4 linked regions of the Saccharomyces cerevisiae S288C genome follow. Changing the gene in region 1 together with any one later gene gives a genetic interaction. Each region holds a gene or a part of one and is shown on either strand. Other genes may lie near its edges.

Region 1 (5,272 bases):
TCCCAAGAAATTTTGCAGAGGAAATTGGACCAACTGCACATTAAGAACAGAAATAACTATTTAGTCAACTATAACGATTTGAAGTTGGGCCACGATTTGGACAATGGCCGCAGTGGAAATAGTGGTCATAATACCGATACTTCCAGAGCTTGGGGTCCCTTTGTTGAAAGTGAACTAAAATATAAACTGAAAAACAAATCCAATTCCTCCTCATTTCTGAACTTCTCTCATTTTTTAAACAGCAGTTCCAGCTCAATGTCCTCTTCCTCAAATGCGGGAAAGAATAATCATGATTTAACGGGAAATAAAGAAAGGACAGGGCTAATACTAGTAAAGGCGAAAATTCCAAAACAGGGCCTACCATATTGGGCTCCCTCATTATTGAGAAAGACCAATGTTTTTGAATCTAAGAGTAAACACGACCAAGAAAATTGGGTGAGATTGTCTGAGTTGATTCCGGAAGACGTAAAAAAACCATTGGAAAAACTTGATTTACAATTGACTTGCATAGAATCCGATAATAGCTTACCTCATGATCCGCCAGAAATTCAATCGATTACCACAGAACTGATATGTATAACTGCTAAATCTGATAATTCTATCCCAATAAAACTCAATTCTGAACTGTTGATGAACAAAGAGAAGCTGACAAGCATCAAAGCTTTGTACGATGATTTCCATTCAAAAATTTGTGAATATGAAACCAAGTTCAACAAGAATTTTCTTGAATTAAATGAGTTATATAATATGAATAGGGGAGACCGTAGGCCAAAGGAACTGAAATTTACAGATTTTATTACTTCACAGCTGTTTAACGATATCGAAAGCATTTGCAACTTGAAAGTTAGTGTTCACAACTTATCCAACATTTTTAAAAAACAGGTCAGTACCCTAAAACAACACTCAAAGCACGCATTATCTGAGGATTCAATATCGCACACAGGTAACGGTAGTTCATCGTCGCCCAGTTCAGCGTCATTAACGCCAGTAACTTCTTCATCCAAGAGTAGTTTATTTTTACCTAGCGGTAGCTCGTCTACTTCCCTGAAATTTACAGACCAGATTGTTCATAAATGGGTTAGGATTGCTCCTTTACAGTACAAACGAGACATTAATGTGAACTTGGAATTTAATAAGGACATTAAGGAAACTTTAATTCCAAGTTTTGAAAGCTGCCTATGTTGTAGGTTTTATTGCGTTCGAGTAATGATTAAATTTGAAAACCATCTTGGCGTAGCGAAGATTGATATCCCTATTTCTGTTAGGCAAGTGACAAAATAAAAAAACATTAGAAAAAATTCTCGTTACTTTTCTTATAGATATAGATATATGTATGGTTTGCTTATAGATGAAGGTATTTATCGCGTCCTTTGTATTCCCTATTATTAATAAAATTCTTTTAAAATGCATTTTCTGGTGCTCTTTTGTTGCTTCTGTATTTTTTTTTTTTTGGACCACTGGATGGAAAACCTTTGATGATTTTATTACCTTTATTTTAAGTTACTAAAATATCGAGATTTCAGGAACAAAACATAGAATTTTCTTTGTCAAGAAAAATAAAACGAAATAAATTGATGCTTTGACTACTGACTGTCTGTCATAGAGAGAACCAGAACAGCAATGCTACAATTCTCAACATTTCTAGTGCTCCTATACATCTCCATATCCTATGTGCTACCGCTATATGCAACTTCACAACCAGAAGGGTCTAAACGAGATAATCCTCGAACGATTAAATCTCGCATGCAAAAACTTACAATTATGCTAATTTCCAACCTTTTTTTGGTGCCTTTTTTACAATCTCAATTATCTAGTACCACTTCACATATAAGTTTCAAGGACGCATTTTTAGGCTTAGGTATTATCCCAGGTTATTACGCTGCATTGCCAAACCCTTGGCAATTCAGCCAGTTCGTGAAAGACTTAACGAAATGTGTTGCGATGTTATTGACCTTATATTGTGGACCCGTTTTAGATTTTGTATTATATCATTTATTAAATCCAAAGAGCTCTATACTTGAAGATTTTTACCATGAATTCCTGAATATTTGGAGTTTCAGGAATTTTATATTTGCACCAATAACTGAGGAAATATTTTACACGTCAATGCTTTTGACTACGTACTTAAACCTAATACCGCATTCGCAACTAAGCTATCAACAGTTATTTTGGCAACCATCGCTTTTTTTTGGACTTGCGCACGCACACCATGCTTATGAGCAATTACAGGAAGGCTCCATGACAACTGTTTCCATTCTGCTGACAACATGCTTCCAAATTTTATACACAACACTTTTTGGAGGGTTAACCAAGTTTGTATTCGTAAGAACAGGCGGGAACCTATGGTGCTGCATAATCCTGCATGCCCTTTGCAATATCATGGGGTTTCCTGGTCCTTCAAGATTGAATTTACATTTCACAGTAGTAGACAAGAAAGCTGGACGCATTTCCAAATTGGTCTCAATCTGGAATAAGTGCTACTTCGCACTGCTGGTCCTTGGATTAATATCCCTGAAGGATACCTTACAAACTCTGGTAGGAACTCCTGGTTATAGAATAACCCTTTAGCCTTTTTTACGTACTTGTATACCGTTTAAAATTTCCTATGTACTATAACCTTTTTTCACTACTATTATGGAATTCTATCGAGCGACCGGGCTTTTGTTACGGAAGAGTGAAAAAATCGAGTTTTGGTGTTTTGGTGAAAGAATTTGGAGGACTATAAAGTACCTATACTTTGTATTACGGACTCAATAACAAGTCGTTCGTGTCAGTGGTATTGAAGTTGTCAGATCTAAGAGTAGAGAGAAGGTGGCATCTAATAGGTTTCGACGTTTTTCTTTTTTTAAGGTTTTTATTTGGTCTCCTAGAATTTAAGGTCTTAGTTAGTTTTGGTTTGTTTTGTGGGTTACATATTTTCAATTCAAAGGAGAATTTAGCTGTCTTTTATAATGTCCAATAGAGATAACGAGAGCATGCTGCGTACTACATCAAGCGATAAGGCGATCGCTAGTCAAAGGGATAAACGGAAGTCTGAAGTTTTGATTGCTGCACAGTCCCTTGACAATGAAATCCGCAGCGTAAAAAACCTAAAAAGATTGTCGATTGGGTCAATGGATTTACTTATTGATCCAGAATTAGATATAAAATTCGGTGGGGAATCTAGTGGGAGACGATCATGGTCTGGCACGACATCCAGTTCTGCGTCAATGCCAAGTGACACAACCACCGTTAATAACACACGATATAGCGATCCAACTCCGCTAGAGAACTTGCATGGGAGGGGTAACTCAGGGATAGAATCCTCCAATAAGACTAAACAAGGTAACTACTTAGGTATAAAAAAAGGTGTTCACTCTCCATCCAGGAAATTAAATGCTAACGTATTAAAGAAAAACTTATTATGGGTTCCCGCCAATCAACACCCTAACGTTAAGCCTGATAATTTCCTAGAGCTTGTACAAGATACTTTACAAAATATACAACTAAGCGACAATGGTGAAGATAATGATGGGAATAGCAATGAAAATAACGATATTGAGGATAATGGGGAGGATAAAGAATCACAATCATATGAAAATAAGGAGAACAACACTATCAACTTGAACAGGGGGCTGTCAAGGCATGGAAACGCGTCACTAATACGAAGGCCTTCAACATTGCGGAGGTCATATACAGAGTTTGATGATAACGAAGATGACGATAATAAGGGAGACAGTGCCTCTGAAACAGTAAATAAAGTCGAAGAAAGAATCTCCAAAATAAAAGAGAGACCAGTGTCGTTAAGAGATATAACTGAAGAACTGACAAAGATCTCAAATAGTGCAGGACTAACCGACAATGATGCCATTACATTAGCCAGAACTCTTAGTATGGCTGGTTCATATTCAGATAAAAAAGATCAACCACAACCGGAAGGGCATTATGATGAAGGAGATATTGGTTTTTCAACTTCACAAGCGAATACTTTGGATGATGGTGAATTTGCCTCCAATATGCCCATCAATAATACCATGACATGGCCTGAACGATCGTCACTGAGAAGGAGTAGATTCAACACTTATCGAATCAGGTCACAAGAGCAAGAAAAAGAAGTAGAACAAAGTGTGGATGAAATGAAAAACGACGACGAAGAACGTCTAAAATTGACCAAGAATACAATAAAGGTCGAAATAGATCCGCACAAATCCCCTTTTAGACAGCAAGATGAGGATTCTGAGAATATGAGTTCGCCTGGGTCAATTGGTGATTTTCAAGACATTTATAATCATTACAGACAGTCTAGTGGCGAGTGGGAACAAGAAATGGGAATAGAGAAAGAAGCCGAAGAGGTACCCGTCAAGGTTCGAAATGACACAGTAGAACAAGACTTAGAGTTAAGAGAGGGAACAACAGACATGGTAAAGCCAAGCGCAACGGATGACAACAAAGAAACGAAGCGACATCGTCGAAGAAACGGATGGACATGGTTGAACAATAAAATGAGCAGAGAAGACGATAACGAAGAAAACCAAGGGGACGATGAAAATGAAGAAAACGTGGATTCACAAAGAATGGAGCTCGACAATTCCAAAAAACATTATATTTCTCTATTTAATGGCGGTGAGAAGACGGAGGTGTCAAATAAAGAAGAAATGAACAATTCAAGTACTTCCACCGCCACATCACAGACAAGACAGAAAATCGAGAAAACTTTTGCGAACCTATTCAGAAGAAAGCCACACCACAAGCATGATGCATCATCATCACCCTCGTCGTCACCATCATCGTCACCATCAATACCAAATAACGATGCCGTGCACGTTCGCGTGAGGAAAAGCAAAAAGCTTGGTAACAAAAGTGGAAGGGAGCCGGTTGAACCCATTGTGTTGCGCAATCGCCCTCGTCCTCACCGTCACCATCACAGCCGTCATGGTTCCCAAAAAATAAGCGTAAAAACCCTTAAAGATTCTCAGCCGCAGCAGCAGATACCATTACAACCACAATTGGAAGGCGCAATAGAGATAGAAAAGAAAGAGGAAAGCGATTCCGAGAGCTTGCCCCAACTACAGCCGGCCGTTAGTGTAAGTAGTACCAAAAGTAACTCTAGAGACAGAGAAGAAGAGGAGGCAAAGAAAAAGAACAAGAAGAGGAGCAATACGACAGAAATTTCCAACCAACAACACTCCAAACACGTCCAAAAGGAGAATACCGATGAGCAAAAAGCTCAACTACAAGCTCCAGCTCAAGAACAAGTCCAAACTTCAGTCCCAGTTCAAGCTTCAGCCCCAGT
Region 2 (5,552 bases), on another chromosome or scaffold:
TGAAGATAACAAGGATTATTATACCGTTCCACTTTGCCACTGTGTTCCTTTTTGAGTTCATGAATATTATAGAAGGTCCACTCAAAAATATCATTCTCATCGTATATTTTCTACCATTGATCCAATGTGTCACTATATTTTGGTTTCTGTTGAAAGAGTGCCAGATAATAAAATATTGTACTAGGAGATGTTTGTTGATAGAATCCTCCCCCCGTTCCTTAAGGAATACCTACATTTTAATCTCTGACACGTTGACATCGTTTGCAAAACCATTGATAGACTTCACATTGTTTACCTCTCTAATTTTTAGAGAACCCTTCACACATTTTGATCTATCCGTAGCCCTTCTTCCTGTACTGGTAAGACTACTGCAGTGTTTGAGAGAATACCGTTTACTGCACGAAGCAACTTTACTATTCAATGCATTGAAATACAGTTGTAATCTTCCCATTCTTTTTTGCACCTGGAGATCAAGAGTGTATGAGGGATCCATCAACGAAGAAAGACTACACCACGTTCAAAGATGGTTTATGCTAATTAATTCTTCCTATACGTTATTTTGGGATGTAAGGATGGATTGGTCATTGGACTCGTTAACCTCTTTAAGATCCAGATCCAAAAGTGCCGTCACATTAAAGAAAAAAATGTATCATTCGGCGATTCTCGTTGACTTTTTGCTGAGGTTCTGGTGGCTATGGGTATATTTATCGCAGAATCTGAAATTAGTTGCCGCAGATAGCGACTACATTTTTTTCCAAGGCGAAATGCAGTATTTCGAAGTAATTAGAAGAGGCATATGGGTCGTTTTCAAATTGGACGCAGAGTATTATATTAAGTTTGCAAGCAAATAATTTGTTGGGCAAGCCATATAAAATCATGCAAATGCTGTAAATATTTGTTCTATTTTCCCCGTAGAATGGTTTATTCGATATATTACATATAATAAACGAAAAATACATATGCACAGTATATACTTTTCCAAAAAAAAATCAAACACTGTTTGAGCGTCAAGAAACCCCAGGCGGTGCCCGACGATAATGCGACTGCATTATCTCCTACGCTTGTTGTCGTTTGCCTTTCTTTGGTTTATTCTTCGTTCATTTTTGGTCAAATATCTGAACTTTTTTACTCTTGGCTTCTTCTTTTGTTTCTCATCCACGCCCAGAAACTTCGCGTATTTGGTGGCTCTATTTATGCTTTGTTTGAGTACTTTTTCTGCCTTTTCTAATTTGACATTATTTAGCTGGGCTAAATATTCAAAGTTATCATTGGGTTCCAATGTCTCCAATTCAACAGTAGTTGAGTCATCGTATATTTCCGTGATTGCTCCTTTCTTCAAAATAGGCTTTACGCTACTTTCATTATTGTCGTTATCGCCGTCATCTTTATCAGAATCAAACCCGTGCCAGGATTCATCAGATTCTACCTGCAAATCCTCCGTCTTATCATTTTTCGCATCCTCTATCTCAGCTTCCAAGTTTAAACTCTCTTTAAACGTCTTTAACTGTTCTTCCATCACCTCCTTACGTTCCTGCCGAATCTTCTGTCTTTCTTCAATTTTTCTAAGCCTTTCCTGCTCCTTAATAAACTCTTGTGCTTTCTTTTGTCTTTGAAGCTTTCTCTTGTGAAAGCCAGTCAGATAATCCAAACGAGAATCCTTGTCGAACGTCACCTCATCGGTACCGAATTTCTTTGATTGCTTTGTAGCATAGTTTTTGCCTCTTGTAAGGATTTGCCTATTGGTGTGAACAGCCATAGCAAAAATCGAAAACCTTTAATTCACCCCTCTTGATTCGAGCAGCTACCAGGAACTTGAATATTGCAACTCTCTATTTTTTATCTGCTATTATCTGCTGCTTTGCAGAATCGATCCTCATCACATTTGAAAAATTTCAAATGTGAAAAGTCCCTACTTACCCGTTCGCGGCTCATGAAATCGTGTCCTCTTCAATATAAGACAAGAGTATCAAACAAAGGATATAAGGCAAAATACAACAAATTACCAGTGAATTCCGCATTTCCAAGTCAAATCAAAAACTATTTTCGAGGAAATAATGGCAGGCCCAAGGAATGTGCGTACATTACATGGAAATGGAGGCCGTAATAATGATGTGATGGGCCCAAAAGAATTCTGGTTAAATATCCCCCCAATAACAAGAACTTTATTTACTCTAGCGATCGTTATGACGATCGTCGGCCGGTTGAATCTAATCAATCCGTGGTACTTTATTTATGTTTGGAATTTGACGTTCAAGAAGGTTCAGATATGGAGACTTCTTACTTCTTGTGTAATGCTTTCGTCTCGTGCCATGCCTGCGCTAATGGAACTATATAGTATTTATGACAGGTCCTCACAGTTGGAGCGAGGGCATTTTGGTCCCGGTTTGTCCAATAGACGAGGACCGATGGTAACAGTAGACTATGCCTACTACCTGTGCTTTTGTATACTAGCCATCACTACGGCCACTACAATCATTTATGGGTCCTACTACCCTGTTGTGCTCACCTCTGGGTTCATATCATGCATTACATATACTTGGTCGATCGACAATGCCAACGTGCAGATCATGTTTTATGGTTTGATTCCTGTTTGGGGGAAGTACTTCCCCTTAATTCAATTGTTTATCTCTTTCGTTTTTAATGAGGGTGATTTCGTAATCTCATTGATCGGTTTTACTACAGGGTACCTTTATACATGCTTAGATACCCATACACTGGGGCCAATATGGGGGATGATATCCAGAAAAGCTGATCCAACCTACGGAATCTCGCCCAATGGGAAATTCTCAACGCCATGGTGGTTTACTAGTCTATATGCTCGCATAACGGGTGCCCACAATGAAACTGCAACATTCAACAACAACTTTGCCAATGTGCCATCTTCGCAAAGAGAAACGAGAACTTTTAGTGGAAGAGGTCAACGATTGGGTACGGCCCCTGCAACATTGTCTCAAACCAGTGGCACAGATTCAGGCAGAGCTTCTGGAAGTCAATTAAGAAGTGGCCCATCGAATTTGAACCAATTTCAAGGCCGCGGCCAACGAGTAGGACAAACAAACAGCCCCTCCGACTCACAATAACAACTTTTATCTATTTCTATGTACTTTGCCATTCATTATATACATCAAGAGAGTCTGACATAGTATTTTCGTTGGCATAGCAACCGATTGATAATGAAACATCACTCAAGACGAATTGACAAATGGGCCACTATGGTAAAACAATTCTTTACATGATACCACCAGTATATAGAAAGGTTCTCGTGTTGATGAATTATATAAGAAAGTGAAAATCGATTTCAAGATAATTACTCTTTTTACCTCCTCTTTCATTGTGGTCACCGTTTTTGAACACAACATGCACCAAGATTTTCAAGAAGACGAGCATGAGTATCCAGACATCAGACGCAATCCGCTGCATGAGGTGACCATGACTTCCTACATACTGGGGATTCTTTTAGGTATATTTGTTGGTCTTTTTCCACAAATTAGATTCAAGAATTTTAACCTCTTTATTATTGCCCTGTCCTTATTCCATTTTTTGGAGTATTATATTACAGCTAAATACAATCCTCTTAAGGTACATTCAGAGTCCTTTCTTCTGAACAACGGCAAAAGTTACATGGCGGCACATTCCTTTGCTATTCTGGAATGCCTCGTAGAAAGCTTTCTTTTTCCTGATCTGAAAATTTTTAGCTACTCTCTAGCTACCAAGCTTTGTACAGTACTTGGATGTCTTCTAGTTATTCTGGGACAATATACCAGAACTATTGCTATGCATACTGCGGGACATTCCTTTTCTCATATTGTGAAGACCAAGAAGGAGTCCGATCATGTTTTAGTGAAAACTGGCGTTTACTCCTGGTCAAGACATCCAAGTTATCTTGGGTTCTTTTGGTGGGCAATTGGCACTCAGCTACTGCTTCTAAATCCCCTATCATTGGTTATTTTCATTTTTGTACTTTGGAAATTTTTCAGTGATAGAATTCGTGTGGAAGAAAAATATTTGATAGAGTTCTTTAGCGCGGAATACATAGAATACAAGAATAAGGTTGGTGTCGGAATACCTTTTATATAATAGTAATGATTGTGTTAGTTATGGACTGGATTTTTGTGTTATGTAAGATTTTATCTAATCTTGTGCATCTGTATTTGGTAGGTAATAAATGCTAGGGGAATGCAAACAGTGATATTGCCTTTGAGTATTGAAAAGAAGAAAATATTTCTTTTTCGAACGGAAAATTATAGAAAATGAAGGTCATATGCACAATTACAAAGAAAATATTTCATGAAAGAGCTGGACGGAACCGTCCAATTTTAGCCTCGTTTTTAACCACTGTTGTATTTCTTTCCATAATCTTGCGTTTTCCATGTACCCATTATGGGTGAAGTTGAGGATGTATTAGAAAGTTGTCTTTTTTGGGGCAGTACATTAGAGTAAGGCCTCCTTGGAATGAATGGATTTACAATGAGTCTGGACTTCTGCAACGGTATGGTTGCAGTGTTGGGAGGATTGGGGACACTGTTTTCATTGTTTATCAAAGGAAGCCCAGACTTGTTAGAGTTTGTACGAATTGGGACGTTCTGGGGCAACGTGGGAAGTACAGGCGTAGAATTTTGTCGCCCGACGTCATTCCTCGTGATTGCTTCTGTTGTTGGTAGAGAGTTATTCCTTTGATCAAGCCCATTATTCGACAAAATAGTTGCCCCACGCAATGTTGAATCAGGGAATCTTGTGGTATTCAAACGTGGATCATTAAATCTTGAGTTCACGGTGGAAGGAAAGGACATATCCATATTCTGTTCACGTGGTGGAAAAACTGAAGATTCTTGAGGCTGGACAAATGAATCTGATATCGATGCAGTATAACTGTTGGAATTTATGGGAGGCCTTATTGTTTTATCGGGAACAGTGGATCCCCTGGGATCTAATGAACTCATTCTTATTAAGGGAGGGGTACTGAGAGCGCTCGAACTTGCATTTGAAGCGGTGTTTCTTGGCGTTGGGGATGATACGCTAACATCTGGAGAGATTAAGTGGGATGAATTATCAACAGCAGTCACATTTAAAGGCGTTTTTCCCAGAATGTTCGGCAATTGTTTACCAATATAACTGGAACTGTTTCCGAGGTACTCAGGAATAACCCTGTTTGTCACCGGAGTAGTAGTTTCTGAAGCAACTATGTTATAACTTTTTGGATCCAGGGTTCTCGAGGGTGCACTTGAACCTTTTTCAGTTAGAATATCTGTATTAGTACTTTTAAGGTGATTGCTAGTTATTTCCGCCATAAGTCGATCATCATCATCGTCATCATTATCGTTCATTAAATTTTTAGTATGATTATGACTGGGAGTATTACTGCGACTACCATGATCATGTTTATTATTACTATTACTATCATTATTTTCGATACTATTATTATTATCATTATTATTATTATTGTTATTATTATTATTATTATTATTTTTATTATGACTATCATTATTTTTGATACTATTATTATTGTTATCATTACTATGCCTGTTGCTATCATCATGATTATTAGTAACATG
Region 3 (4,726 bases), on another chromosome or scaffold:
TTGAAGAAGGCACTAACGAGGCTTCCTCTCAATCCTCTTCCAATAACAAAAACAGATTGGAGCTAATACCAGAAAATTTTATTGGCGAAGGGTCTAGACGGTGTAAGAGACAGAAGGAGTTGAAGCTTGCGGTCTCCTCTGCGCCATTCAATCAGTGGTTATCCAGGGATAAGATTACGTCTGATAATCAGTTAGATGATATGATATTGCAGGCAACGGAAAAAACATTGGGCAAAGTAGACCAGGACGTCCAATTCTCTGATTTGGTAGCTAAATTTCAGTTCACCAAATTTTTGCAATCTAAATCTGGCTATCTAATTCCTGATTATGAACTGACCACTTTAAGCACACCCTTGCAGTTTAAAAGGTATATTAAGGAAAAAATTTTGCCATCTGCCAACGATCCTAAACTCGCTTATAAAGAAGCTGAGCCAAATGCTATCCACCCATTTTCTGATAATTACGCGTCACCAAACATATATGTTGTTAACGATGTTACTTCTAAAGAGCAAAAAAGTAAATATGATACTATTATGAAAGAAATTCAAAAGTTAGAGGATGATGCAACAAGAAAAGCTTTGGAAACAGCAAGATCCGCTTAGCTTATGTTAATACTATTATTACTACTATCATTACATTTTAATATCCTGTACATATATATACTCTTTGAAGAAGTTTGGATTTTTCTTTCCCATTATAGATCACTTTTTTTTTTTACCTTATCTTTTCTGTAAGTTCTTTTTGTGGCTATATTTCCTCTTTGGCGGCTAACTCAAGAAGCAGTAAGGGAATAATTCGTTACACATTACAGCTAGCTAAAATCATCAAGAGGCAGGAACACACGAGATATACTGATAATGTTGGAATGTCTAAGCGCTCTGCTGGTTCTCTTTGCCGGTGGTGGTGGGAGCGTTCTCGCAGCGGTTCAAAGCAAAACTGTGGCAGATCCTAACTTATGTCCAGGTTACAATTCACAACTGATTTCCCCCTTCCTCTCCAGTTGCGTATGTACAACAAATTTACCGAGGTACTAATATTCTCTAGATTTTATTACTGACAAGATCCATGTGAAGAAACGAAATTTAAGTGAATGCGTGTCCCGTTATTTTGATGAACAATATGCATTTTGTCGGTCATGCGTTACTGTGAATAATGAAACAATGGAGGACTTGGATAACTGCAAATGTTTACAGTGTGCCTTGAGTTCCCTTAATAATAGCTGCTTTCACGATTACTGTACCTCCAAAGATGAGTATGACAAGTTGCAGATCGTTGTTGAACAATTTCAATTGACAAATGGAGTTTTAGATGACGGAGAGATTTTGAAACCTAGAGGCAACAAATTTTCTAGTAGAAAATTGTCTTATTTCGTTGGTCAAAACAATACTCTTTTTAGGAACCCTTTGCAGTTCGAAAAAAACCAATTAATTTCTGCACTATTAACCTCTTTAACCAATAATCAAAAGACTATATCATCAGTTGACATGTTCGAAGTGGTTGACGCTAATAATGAAGTTCAATATTTGCGCGAAAGAACGATAAGTGGTAAAACTCTGTCTCCAGCTACTGGTTATGAAGAAGAAAACGACGGTGACTGTAGTGTGAAAGATAAGAAGTGGGAAGGTAAAATCGAATACCATGAGAACAAGAAAGTTAGTTCTGAAAACTGTAGTAAGGATACCGATGATAAAAGTGGCAGTAAAAAAGAACGAAATACGAAGGCCCCATTATTTCACACTGCCACCGAAATTCATATGACAAGGTGGAGTTCTTGGAGGCCAAAGAAAATTTTTACTCGTTACTTAGTGAATGAATACCAAAGTCCTAAAATAATAACCACAGTGAACAGGTTTTACAGGACCAAGACTGATACTGAAACAGGGACGACTTTAATCACGTCGACAAAAGCCAAAAGAAGATGGTTTCCAAGAACTAAAATCGTAACAAGTACCGCAACTTCGACGTTTTTGAGTATCACGACTACTACGACAACAAATGCTATCGCAACGAAGTCGTTAGTAGCAGTACTTAATCCGGATGGATTGAATAAAAAAGCGGGAATAAATTTTGGTCTCTTTAGCGCTAATGGTGAGCTCGCTTCACCAGATGAAGGAGGTACACCAACAGTAGTAAGAAGAGATAAGATTTCTGATCCAGGCGCTGCTAATGAGCAGGCCACACTGTTCTCTACAACCTTTTCGCAAGTGCCGCACTTACCAGAACTAGATTCTGGTGAATTCATATCGGCGGCATCTCAATTAGACAAAAGGATTTTCATATTCACTGCCATCACAGTATCAATTACTACATTGATGATGTTGGGGTTTTCTTACCGGTCGCGGGTATCTTTTAGAGATCATAGTATCGATGACTCAGATGATGATAACGATTGGTCAGATGACGAAGTTGAATTTGACGAAGAGTATTTCTATTCTCTTCCTGTAAGCATACCAGAAAAGGGGATCAGCTTAGATAAAATGGCGCAACAACTTGGTGTAGAATAGTCATGAAACCATTGCGCTCTTTTTTCTTTACCGATATTATTTATGCACGTTGCTCATTTAATTCCTTTCAATCACTGATTCGTTTCACGATGTTAGATGATGCTATTGACTGTCCTCCAATTATTTGTTTCACAAGGATAATAGTACAAACTTACATAGCGTTGATAGTAAATAGGCTTCGTCTTTATAAGATATATACAGCTATTAATACACATTCGTTCTCCTGATCACGGTCTCAGTAAAGAAAATATTTTTTATAGGCTTCCGGCAGTTTTATAACTTCACATTATTTGACTAAGCAATTGTTCCATTTTCTCCTTTCCTTTTTATGTTTTGTTCTTGATTTTAATACTACATTTAGTTCAGCTCTTTTTCACTTATTTTTGCACATGGAAGATCAAATACATGAAAAGTACACAAAAGAACAAACAAAAGCCAAACAAAAAAATGCTAAAAGGAAACGCTCAAAACAATTGTTGAAGTTATGCAATCTTCTCTTCCCCTTTGCAGAGAATTTTTTGAAAAAATAACTGCATATTTAGATTATCATGATTTCAGGTTAACCATTACTGCCAATCAGCCTTCAATTACTCTCCCTTACTACGTAGACGAAAAAGCCCATTCCATAGAACTAATTATCTTCAAAACAACATTTTTATCTCTTTTCCAAGAAGCACATACATATTTTAACAAAACTTTCTCTGATCAAAGTATGTCTCAACGGTAAAATACAAAAAACTATTGCTATTTTACAATACGCATTTTGGATTCATTGTTACGGCTACTAACAATTCTACATATTGATGTAAATTAGGCGGCATTTCTAATGAGAATATTTATTACATGACTGTTGGATTTCTACTTACAACACCTGAAAACAAAACGGTATATAATGTACACGAAGATTTACTCAAGAGATACTTCCAGGACAACAGTGTTTTAGTAATACCGGATTTATTGGTCAAAGAAGTAAGACTGATTCAACGGCTTCTTTGTTCATCAAACAATCGTATCAACAAGTCGTCATCTCTTTGGATATTATACCGAAAACTATTCGTTTTATCTCTTGATGCTAATACACTGGTTCTTCCAGATATTTTATTTGTATTTCATTCTTCTGGATCCCAACATTTCTCTAATTACTACTGTTGGAATACTGCTAGGTGGTTCTACGATAATTTACCTTACAATAAAAGAATTGAGCTCTTCAATTTGACTAAGAGATTTTGCTTTCAAAATGTTAAGGATTGTTCCTCATGGAGCGCATTAGCATATATGGTATGCCAGCAGGAGGAAAAAAAAACCGATAATATACGTGATTTTCAAAGACTAACAAGCTCTTTTAATGTTCCGTTCAAGATAAATAAAGTGGATTTGAATTTTCAAGTACAGCCTGCGGATGCATTTACTCAGGAATTAGTAAAATGGATTGATCGAACGTATGCTGCAGATTGGCCTCCATATCTGTGTCTTCTGCAAATTACGAAATTTAATATCACCCTTAGAATTGAAATGGACTCTGTCTTATTGACTTGGAGAAATGAAATTCTGAATTTTGAAGAGAACAGTGGTCATATCAAAATGATAAATAATACTCCAATAGTACCTGAGAAATTTTCAAACGATCTTCTAACTTCTGTGAATTTTGCACATTTTGGCTATAAAAAGCTTTTCTTAAATAAGTTTTTGGATAAAAATAAGAAAGAACAATCAGATAGTTAGAACAAAAAAAAGAAAAACATATAAAAAAACTAATCTATAATTTACAACAAATATCATATCCAACATATACACTATTGTTTTGCTGGGTTCTGCTTTTCGTTTTCAATCATCTTCTTTTGTGATTTTATTTTCTCAAATGCGGGGATGAAAAATTTGTCGGTAAATTGTTGACCAGGTAAAATAGGTGCTATTTGCAATATGCTTCGTATTTGCTTCTCAGGGTCCTCGTCGACAGGGATATTTTTATAAATACAATAGTCAAGATCTTCGCCAGGCTTTGATCTTCTAAACAACTTTGGATGAAATTCTACGCCATCTTCAATGCGTTTTTTGGCTAACTGTCTTTGGTGATCTTCAATCTGAAATTTTTCTTCTGTCGCAACAGGATGATTGCGAACGGCCAACGCATCTGTAACCTTTTTCCACAGTTTTCTGGATTCATATTCACCTTGCTCGCTCAATGGCCGAACTTTTGGTCTCAATGGTGACTCTTTATGAGT
Region 4 (6,626 bases), on another chromosome or scaffold:
TCGTAGGGATATCTATGTAAAGTAGGATGTTAAGCTTCTTTAGCGAAGGGTACCGGTCCGCCAAAGACGCTTGTACCACTGTCTGCTGCATGTTGGAGTAAGTGATCAGAAACAGCGAGTCCTGTGACTTCACACTAACTTTTGGTGAAGTGGACTGGGCAAAGCGACGCTCATTAATGCTCGCGGCTGCTGCGTCCGTACCGACAGTGTCCATCGTAGTGTAGGCTTCCCAAAATTTAGGATGTGATTAGTAATAGTGGTTGATTGCGAGCTCCGGGATGCGAGGGAGAGCGTGTATGTGTACTTCAAGTTCGCCAACTTCTCTCTTAAATAGAAAAAGAAAAGAAGAAAAAGGAAACGAAAAAAAAAAAAAGTAGGGAAAAGCTGAGTGATGAAGATCCGGGCTGCCAAGATTGGGTTTGAAACGTGTAGTCAGCTACAAACCAAAAATTAAAAGAACAATAGCAAAGAACCTTAGTAGGAAAACAATAAAATAATAGACACGACACCCGTAGAAAGATAGAACGGGACGAGGGGCCGGTTCAACAACTATCATACTTTCTTGTTCAACAACGCGATTAACCCAAATAATAAAAAAGCTACGAGACAAGAACAGACGAGGCAATACGAGCAACGAGCGCAACGAGAACGGTAAGCATGGCAACGGCGCGCACACCCACGCCCCGCAACCGCACACCTCAGCTCAAAGTAACCCACTTTAACGTGACTGGACCTGAGCTGTCTGACTCGGTCGTTTGCAAATAGGTTAACGCCGTCGCTTCTCCCTTTCGTGTACCGTATATCTTTCTTTAATTGCATTCCCTTGTTGTGATTATCGTTTCCCATTGCAGTGAGCTTTCATTTTGGGGACCCTGGGAGTAGGCTGTTTTTCGATAGAGTGAGAGGTGTGGGTTCTGCGGCAGAATGGATACGGGCCGTGGATCACTGTTTACGGGAGTTTTGCTTTGGTGGCAAAATTTTCGCTCGGTGATGTGTTAGTAGTTGTTATTCTGGTAAGAAACGAACGAAAGACGGAAAGGATTATGTATAACAGTGTATGTGTGCAGTGTGTGGAAAAGGTAAAGGTTAAGGGTGTGGAAGCAGTGAGAAGCAGAAGATTATAATATAAGTAGAGTAGAAGCATGTCATTGCAATTGTTGAATCCGAAGGCTGAATCGTTGAGAAGGGATGCGGCTTTGAAGGTTAACGTCACATCTGCTGAGGGCTTACAATCCGTCCTAGAGACCAACTTGGGCCCTAAGGGCACGCTAAAGATGCTTGTGGATGGTGCTGGTAACATCAAGCTGACCAAGGACGGTAAAGTGTTGCTGACCGAGATGCAGATCCAGTCGCCTACAGCGGTACTGATTGCTAGGGCAGCTGCCGCGCAGGATGAAATCACGGGCGATGGGACCACGACGGTTGTGTGTCTTGTGGGTGAATTGCTTAGACAAGCGCACCGTTTCATTCAAGAGGGCGTGCATCCGCGGATCATCACTGATGGGTTTGAGATTGCGCGGAAGGAGTCCATGAAATTTTTGGACGAATTCAAGATCAGTAAGACGAACCTTTCCAATGATAGAGAGTTCCTTCTGCAAGTGGCCCGGTCGTCGCTGCTAACCAAGGTGGACGCTGACTTGACGGAGGTCTTGACGCCCATTGTAACGGATGCGGTGCTAAGCGTGTACGACGCGCAGGCTGACAATTTGGATTTACACATGGTTGAGATCATGCAGATGCAGCACTTGTCTCCTAAAGATACCACTTTTATTAAGGGTTTGGTATTGGACCACGGTGGTAGGCATCCTGACATGCCCACCCGTGTGAAGAACGCGTATGTTTTGATTTTGAACGTATCTTTGGAATACGAGAAGACTGAAGTTAACTCTGGGTTCTTTTACAGTTCTGCGGACCAAAGGGACAAGTTGGCCGCTAGTGAGAGGAAGTTTGTGGATGCCAAGTTGAAGAAGATCATCGACTTGAAAAACGAAGTTTGTGGCATGGATCCAGACAAGGGTTTTGTTATCATTAACCAAAAAGGCATTGACCCCATGTCTTTAGACGTGTTTGCCAAACACAACATCTTGGCTTTGAGAAGGGCCAAGAGACGTAACATGGAAAGATTGCAATTGGTCACTGGCGGTGAAGCTCAGAACTCTGTGGAAGACTTGTCGCCTCAGATTCTTGGGTTTTCTGGCTTGGTCTACCAAGAAACCATAGGCGAGGAAAAATTCACATACGTTACAGAGAACACTGACCCCAAGTCTTGCACCATCTTAATCAAGGGCTCCACTCATTATGCCCTCGCTCAAACAAAGGATGCGGTGAGAGATGGTCTCAGAGCTGTGGCAAACGTTCTCAAGGACAAAAACATCATTCCAGGCGCTGGTGCGTTCTACATCGCCCTTTCGAGATACCTAAGATCTGCCAACATGAACAAGTTGGGTGCCAAGGGTAAAACAAAGACAGGTATTGAGGCGTTCGCAGAAGCATTGCTGGTAATTCCAAAGACTTTGGTGAAGAACTCAGGATTCGACCCATTGGACGTGCTCGCAATGGTGGAGGACGAGTTGGATGACGCTCAGGATTCTGACGAAACGAGATATGTTGGTGTGGACTTGAACATAGGTGATTCTTGCGACCCTACCATCGAGGGTATTTGGGATTCCTACCGCGTACTAAGAAATGCTATTACCGGTGCTACAGGTATTGCCAGCAACTTGTTATTATGCGATGAATTGTTAAGGGCAGGTAGATCCACTTTGAAAGAAACACCACAGTAATAAAAAATAATAATAATAATAATAATAACAAGAACACGAATACTAGTAGTAATAGTAGTCAGATACAAAAATTCTATGTAACATATTTTTTCCAGTCACTATCATCATCATCATATTTTGTATATATACATTTATTATATAAAATATCATACCAATTTTTGCCAAAGAACACCGTTTCCCTCTTCGCGTTGACCACAGTAATTGCAGAAACGACAAAAAAAAAACAAAAAAAAGAAGCACCATTCTAACTCAGCCTTTAATAACCTGACATGATAACTTATAATAGTCATTGCCAGTTGCTAAGTATCTTTGACCAAAAATCACAACATCATGGCTGTGGAGGAAATTGCGTCCCGCAAGGACATTAGTTTAAGAGATATGCAAATCTCTGCCATATTAAAAATGCTGTTTTTAAATAAGGATTTGAACAACAACGACAACATCACCACCATCACAGACGATATTTTTAACCAGCAGGAGATCATCTGGAAGGTGTTGATACTGGACATCAAGAGCACTGCTACCATATCTTCTGTTCTCAGAGTCAATGACCTGCTGAAAGCTGGTATCACCGTTCATTCCTTGATTAAACAAGACAGATCTCCCTTGCCAGATGTCCCTGCCATATATTTCGTCTCCCCCACAAAGGAAAACATTGACATTATAGTCAATGACTTGAAAAGCGACAAGTATTCTGAATTTTACATCAACTTTACCTCATCTCTGCCCAGAAACCTCCTGGAAGATTTGGCTCAACAAGTCTCCATCACGGGTAAATCTGATAAAATCAAACAAGTTTACGACCAATACCTGGACTTCATTGTAACTGAACCGGAACTGTTCTCACTAGAAATTTCAAACGCATACTTGACATTGAATGACCCGAAAACCACAGAAGAGGAAATCACGGGCTTATGCGCCAACATCGCGGACGGTTTATTCAACACTGTCTTAACGATCAATTCTATCCCCATTATAAGAGCAGCTAAGGGTGGGCCTGCTGAGATCATCGCTGAGAAACTGGGTACAAAATTACGTGATTTCGTCATCAATACCAATTCCTCCTCCACTTCCACTTTGCAGGGAAATGATTCTCTGGAAAGAGGAGTGTTGATTATTTTGGATAGAAACATAGATTTTGCCTCCATGTTTTCACATTCGTGGATTTATCAGTGCATGGTCTTTGATATTTTCAAATTATCAAGAAACACCGTTACTATTCCACTTGAAAGTAAGGAAAACGGAACTGACAATACCACCGCAAAACCATTAGCCACGAAAAAATATGATATAGAGCCAAACGATTTTTTTTGGATGGAAAACTCTCATTTGCCATTCCCAGAAGCTGCAGAGAACGTTGAAGCGGCATTGAATACGTACAAGGAGGAAGCCGCAGAAATTACTAGGAAAACTGGTGTTACCAACATATCAGATTTGGACCCAAACTCGAATAATGATACGGTTCAAATTCAGGAAGTCGTAAAGAAACTGCCAGAGTTAACAGCTAAGAAAAATACTATTGATACACATATGAATATTTTTGCTGCATTGTTGTCACAATTGGAAAGTAAAAGTCTTGATACTTTCTTTGAAGTTGAACAAGACCCTGGAAGCACCAAAACAAGATCTAGGTTTTTGGATATACTAAAAGATGGTAAGACAAACAATCTTGAGGACAAACTGAGATCGTTTATTGTTCTTTACTTGACATCAACGACAGGCTTACCAAAGGATTTTGTCCAAAATGTGGAAAACTATTTCAAGGAAAACGATTACGATATCAATGCTTTAAAATATGTTTATAAGCTAAGAGAGTTCATGCAATTATCAAATATGTCGTTACAAAATAAATCTTTGGAAGATGGATCCGATTCCGCTTTCAAACCAAGCAACTTAACATTATCCGGTATCTATGGCTTAACTGAAGGCAAATTACAAGGAGGTGTAGGAAGTTTAATATCAGGTATTAAGAAGTTACTGCCTGAAAAGAAAACCATCCCGATAACAAATGTTGTTGATGCGATAATGGACCCTTTAAACAGCTCTCAAAAAAATTTGGAGACTACTGACAGTTACCTATACATCGACCCAAAAATTACAAGGGGTTCCCATACCAGAAAGCCAAAAAGACAATCTTATAATAAGTCACTAGTGTTTGTAGTTGGTGGCGGTAACTACCTAGAATATCAAAACCTCCAAGAATGGGCACATTCCCAGTTGCATAATCCCAAAAAAGTCATGTATGGTAGCACAGCCATTACCACACCAGCTGAATTCTTAAATGAGATTTCTCGCCTTGGCGCAAGTAATAGCAGCAACAACGATGCATAATTGGCATCTAGCCCCAATGACGATACACTAATATATATATATATATATATATCTATATATCTGCAAGAAATAAGCGTGTGTAGTAAGTAAAAGGAAAAATAGAAATTTTTGCTCAAAAATAACGGTCCCATTTTGATACAATGTTTTTGGTTTAGTGATTTGCGTAATATTTATTTTTATTTATGAAATGTGCTTTAGGCTTTCTTCACTGTTACAAATAATTTGCGGAAGTTTCTAAAATCTTTGTTGACCTTTTGGCATCCAAAAACAGCAATTTGGCTTCATTAACGTCATTAACAACAATTTCCTTACGATTGCTTGTTTGTGCTAGGATACCACATGGTGCCAATAATTGTAAAGCGTAACGTAACGAAGTTTCTGTACCCATCGTGGCTAAAAGGTCCAATGCGCTACTTTCTACTTGCAATCTTTCAACGGTAGCTCTTCTCTCTATAATGGTACGGATCTCGTCCTTGTCATATGGTAATGTACGAACAATTAACAATCTATCGATCAAATCAGGTGGCACACCATGTGGTGATATCACATCCTCAGTGCCACGGACTGTAGTCATGCCCCTATTAGAAGCCAATACAACAACGGGGGCGATATTAGATTCAAGCGCTTTGTTCAAATACGTGAATATTTCAATGTCTAGCATATTAACTTCATCAATGAACAAAACACCTGGAATAAGTTCTGCGACACCTTGATCAATATATTTAGCAACAACTTTATTCACCTCTTGTCTTAATTTCTCGGTTATTTCAGTCTTCTTAGGTTTGAGCAACTGGCCCATCATTGATATGACATCTTGACCACCTTGTGGTCTTGCGTTTGCAACATCCAAATCGTGCAAGGTAACATCTTGTACAATTTCCTTTTTCTTATGCACTTCGCCTTTTGGCAATGGTACGTATTCCTCAGTTTCCAAATCAAATTCAGTAGCGTATGCATCAGATCTGCCAACTCGCTTAACTGCACCGGTGTTGGCCTCTATATAAATGACATCACCAATACTAACCTTTTCTCTTTGAATACTTTCATATATCGTTGGGTCTAATCTTAGTGTCTTGGTACCCTTGGCAGACTTGAGCCCGACAATTACATGTGAGATAGTTTTACCATATCCGCCCAACGGATTCTCTGCGTCTTCAGGGGTTAGTTCTGTCACTTCACCCTCATAAACTTCCTTAGTTTCTTTGATTCTTAACCCAATTGCTCTTCTAAAATTTTCCATTAGGGTTTCTGTTTTTTTGACCTCCACGGAATATAATTCGCTACCAACAAGAGGACAGAATGGAACTTTTGGGCCTAACTCTTGTGAAATGGCGAGAGCCAATGCTGTCTTACCTGTAGAAGGACCACCAGCTAATAGGATAGCTCTACCTGACATTTTTTTAGCCTTGATTAAATCTACAATTACACCGCACGCTTCACGAGCTTCTATTTGTCCAACAAACCCTCCTTCAACCCTCTTGGCCACACCACTTTCATCCAGACCTAAACCTT

The links.
Region 2: of RCE1 (region 1) and STE14, changing one enhances a phenotype caused by changing the other (phenotypic enhancement), as found in Saccharomyces cerevisiae (one study listed by BioGRID).
Region 3: of RCE1 (region 1) and ECM9, a mutation in one rescues a mutant of the other (synthetic rescue), as found in Saccharomyces cerevisiae (one study listed by BioGRID).
Region 4: mutations in RCE1 (region 1) and SLY1 together harm fitness more than expected from each alone (negative genetic interaction), as found in Saccharomyces cerevisiae (2 studies listed by BioGRID).

Annotation. Positions count from the first base shown.
Region 1 is NC_001145.3:811,660-816,931, reverse strand, and holds RCE1 (CAAX prenyl protease), read left to right. Parts: upstream 1-1,620; coding exon 1,621-2,568; downstream 2,569-5,272. Other genes in the region: ubiquitin-ubiquitin ligase BUL1, read left to right, coding at 1-1,281; ZDS1 (Zds1p), read left to right, coding at 2,952-5,272. UniProt on the Saccharomyces cerevisiae protein: Protease involved in the processing of a variety of prenylated proteins containing the C-terminal CAAX motif, where C is a cysteine modified with an isoprenoid lipid, A is an aliphatic amino acid and X is any C-terminal amino acid.
Region 2 is NC_001136.10:1,290,897-1,296,448, reverse strand, and holds STE14 (protein-S-isoprenylcysteine carboxyl O-methyltransferase), read left to right. Parts: upstream 1-3,357; coding exon 3,358-4,077; downstream 4,078-5,552. Other genes in the region: ERD1 (Erd1p), read left to right, coding at 1-851; rRNA-processing protein RRP17, read right to left, coding at 1,049-1,756; DFM1 (Dfm1p), read left to right, coding at 2,055-3,080; SUMO ligase SIZ1, read right to left, coding at 4,329-5,552. UniProt on the Saccharomyces cerevisiae protein: Mediates C-terminal methylation of the isoprenylated C-terminal cysteine in A-factor mating pheromone and Ras proteins.
Region 3 is NC_001143.9:446,299-451,024, reverse strand, and holds ECM9 (Ecm9p), read left to right. Parts: upstream 1-2,988; coding exon 2,989-3,214; intron 3,215-3,318; coding exon 3,319-4,226; downstream 4,227-4,726. Other genes in the region: mitochondrial 54S ribosomal protein mL50 MRPL13, read left to right, coding at 1-602; YKR005C (uncharacterized protein), read left to right, coding at 858-1,004, 1,074-2,504; oxysterol-binding protein OSH6, read right to left, coding at 4,298-4,726. UniProt on the Saccharomyces cerevisiae protein: May be involved in cell wall organization and biogenesis.
Region 4 is NC_001136.10:835,279-841,904, forward strand, and holds SLY1 (syntaxin-binding protein), read left to right. Parts: upstream 1-3,113; coding exon 3,114-5,114; downstream 5,115-6,626. Other genes in the region: SND1 (Snd1p), read right to left, coding at 1-214; chaperonin-containing T-complex subunit CCT6, read left to right, coding at 1,143-2,783; RVB1 (RuvB family ATP-dependent DNA helicase pontin), read right to left, coding at 5,326-6,626. UniProt on the Saccharomyces cerevisiae protein: Able to suppress the functional loss of YPT1. SLY1 is essential for cell viability. May interact indirectly, or directly with YPT1.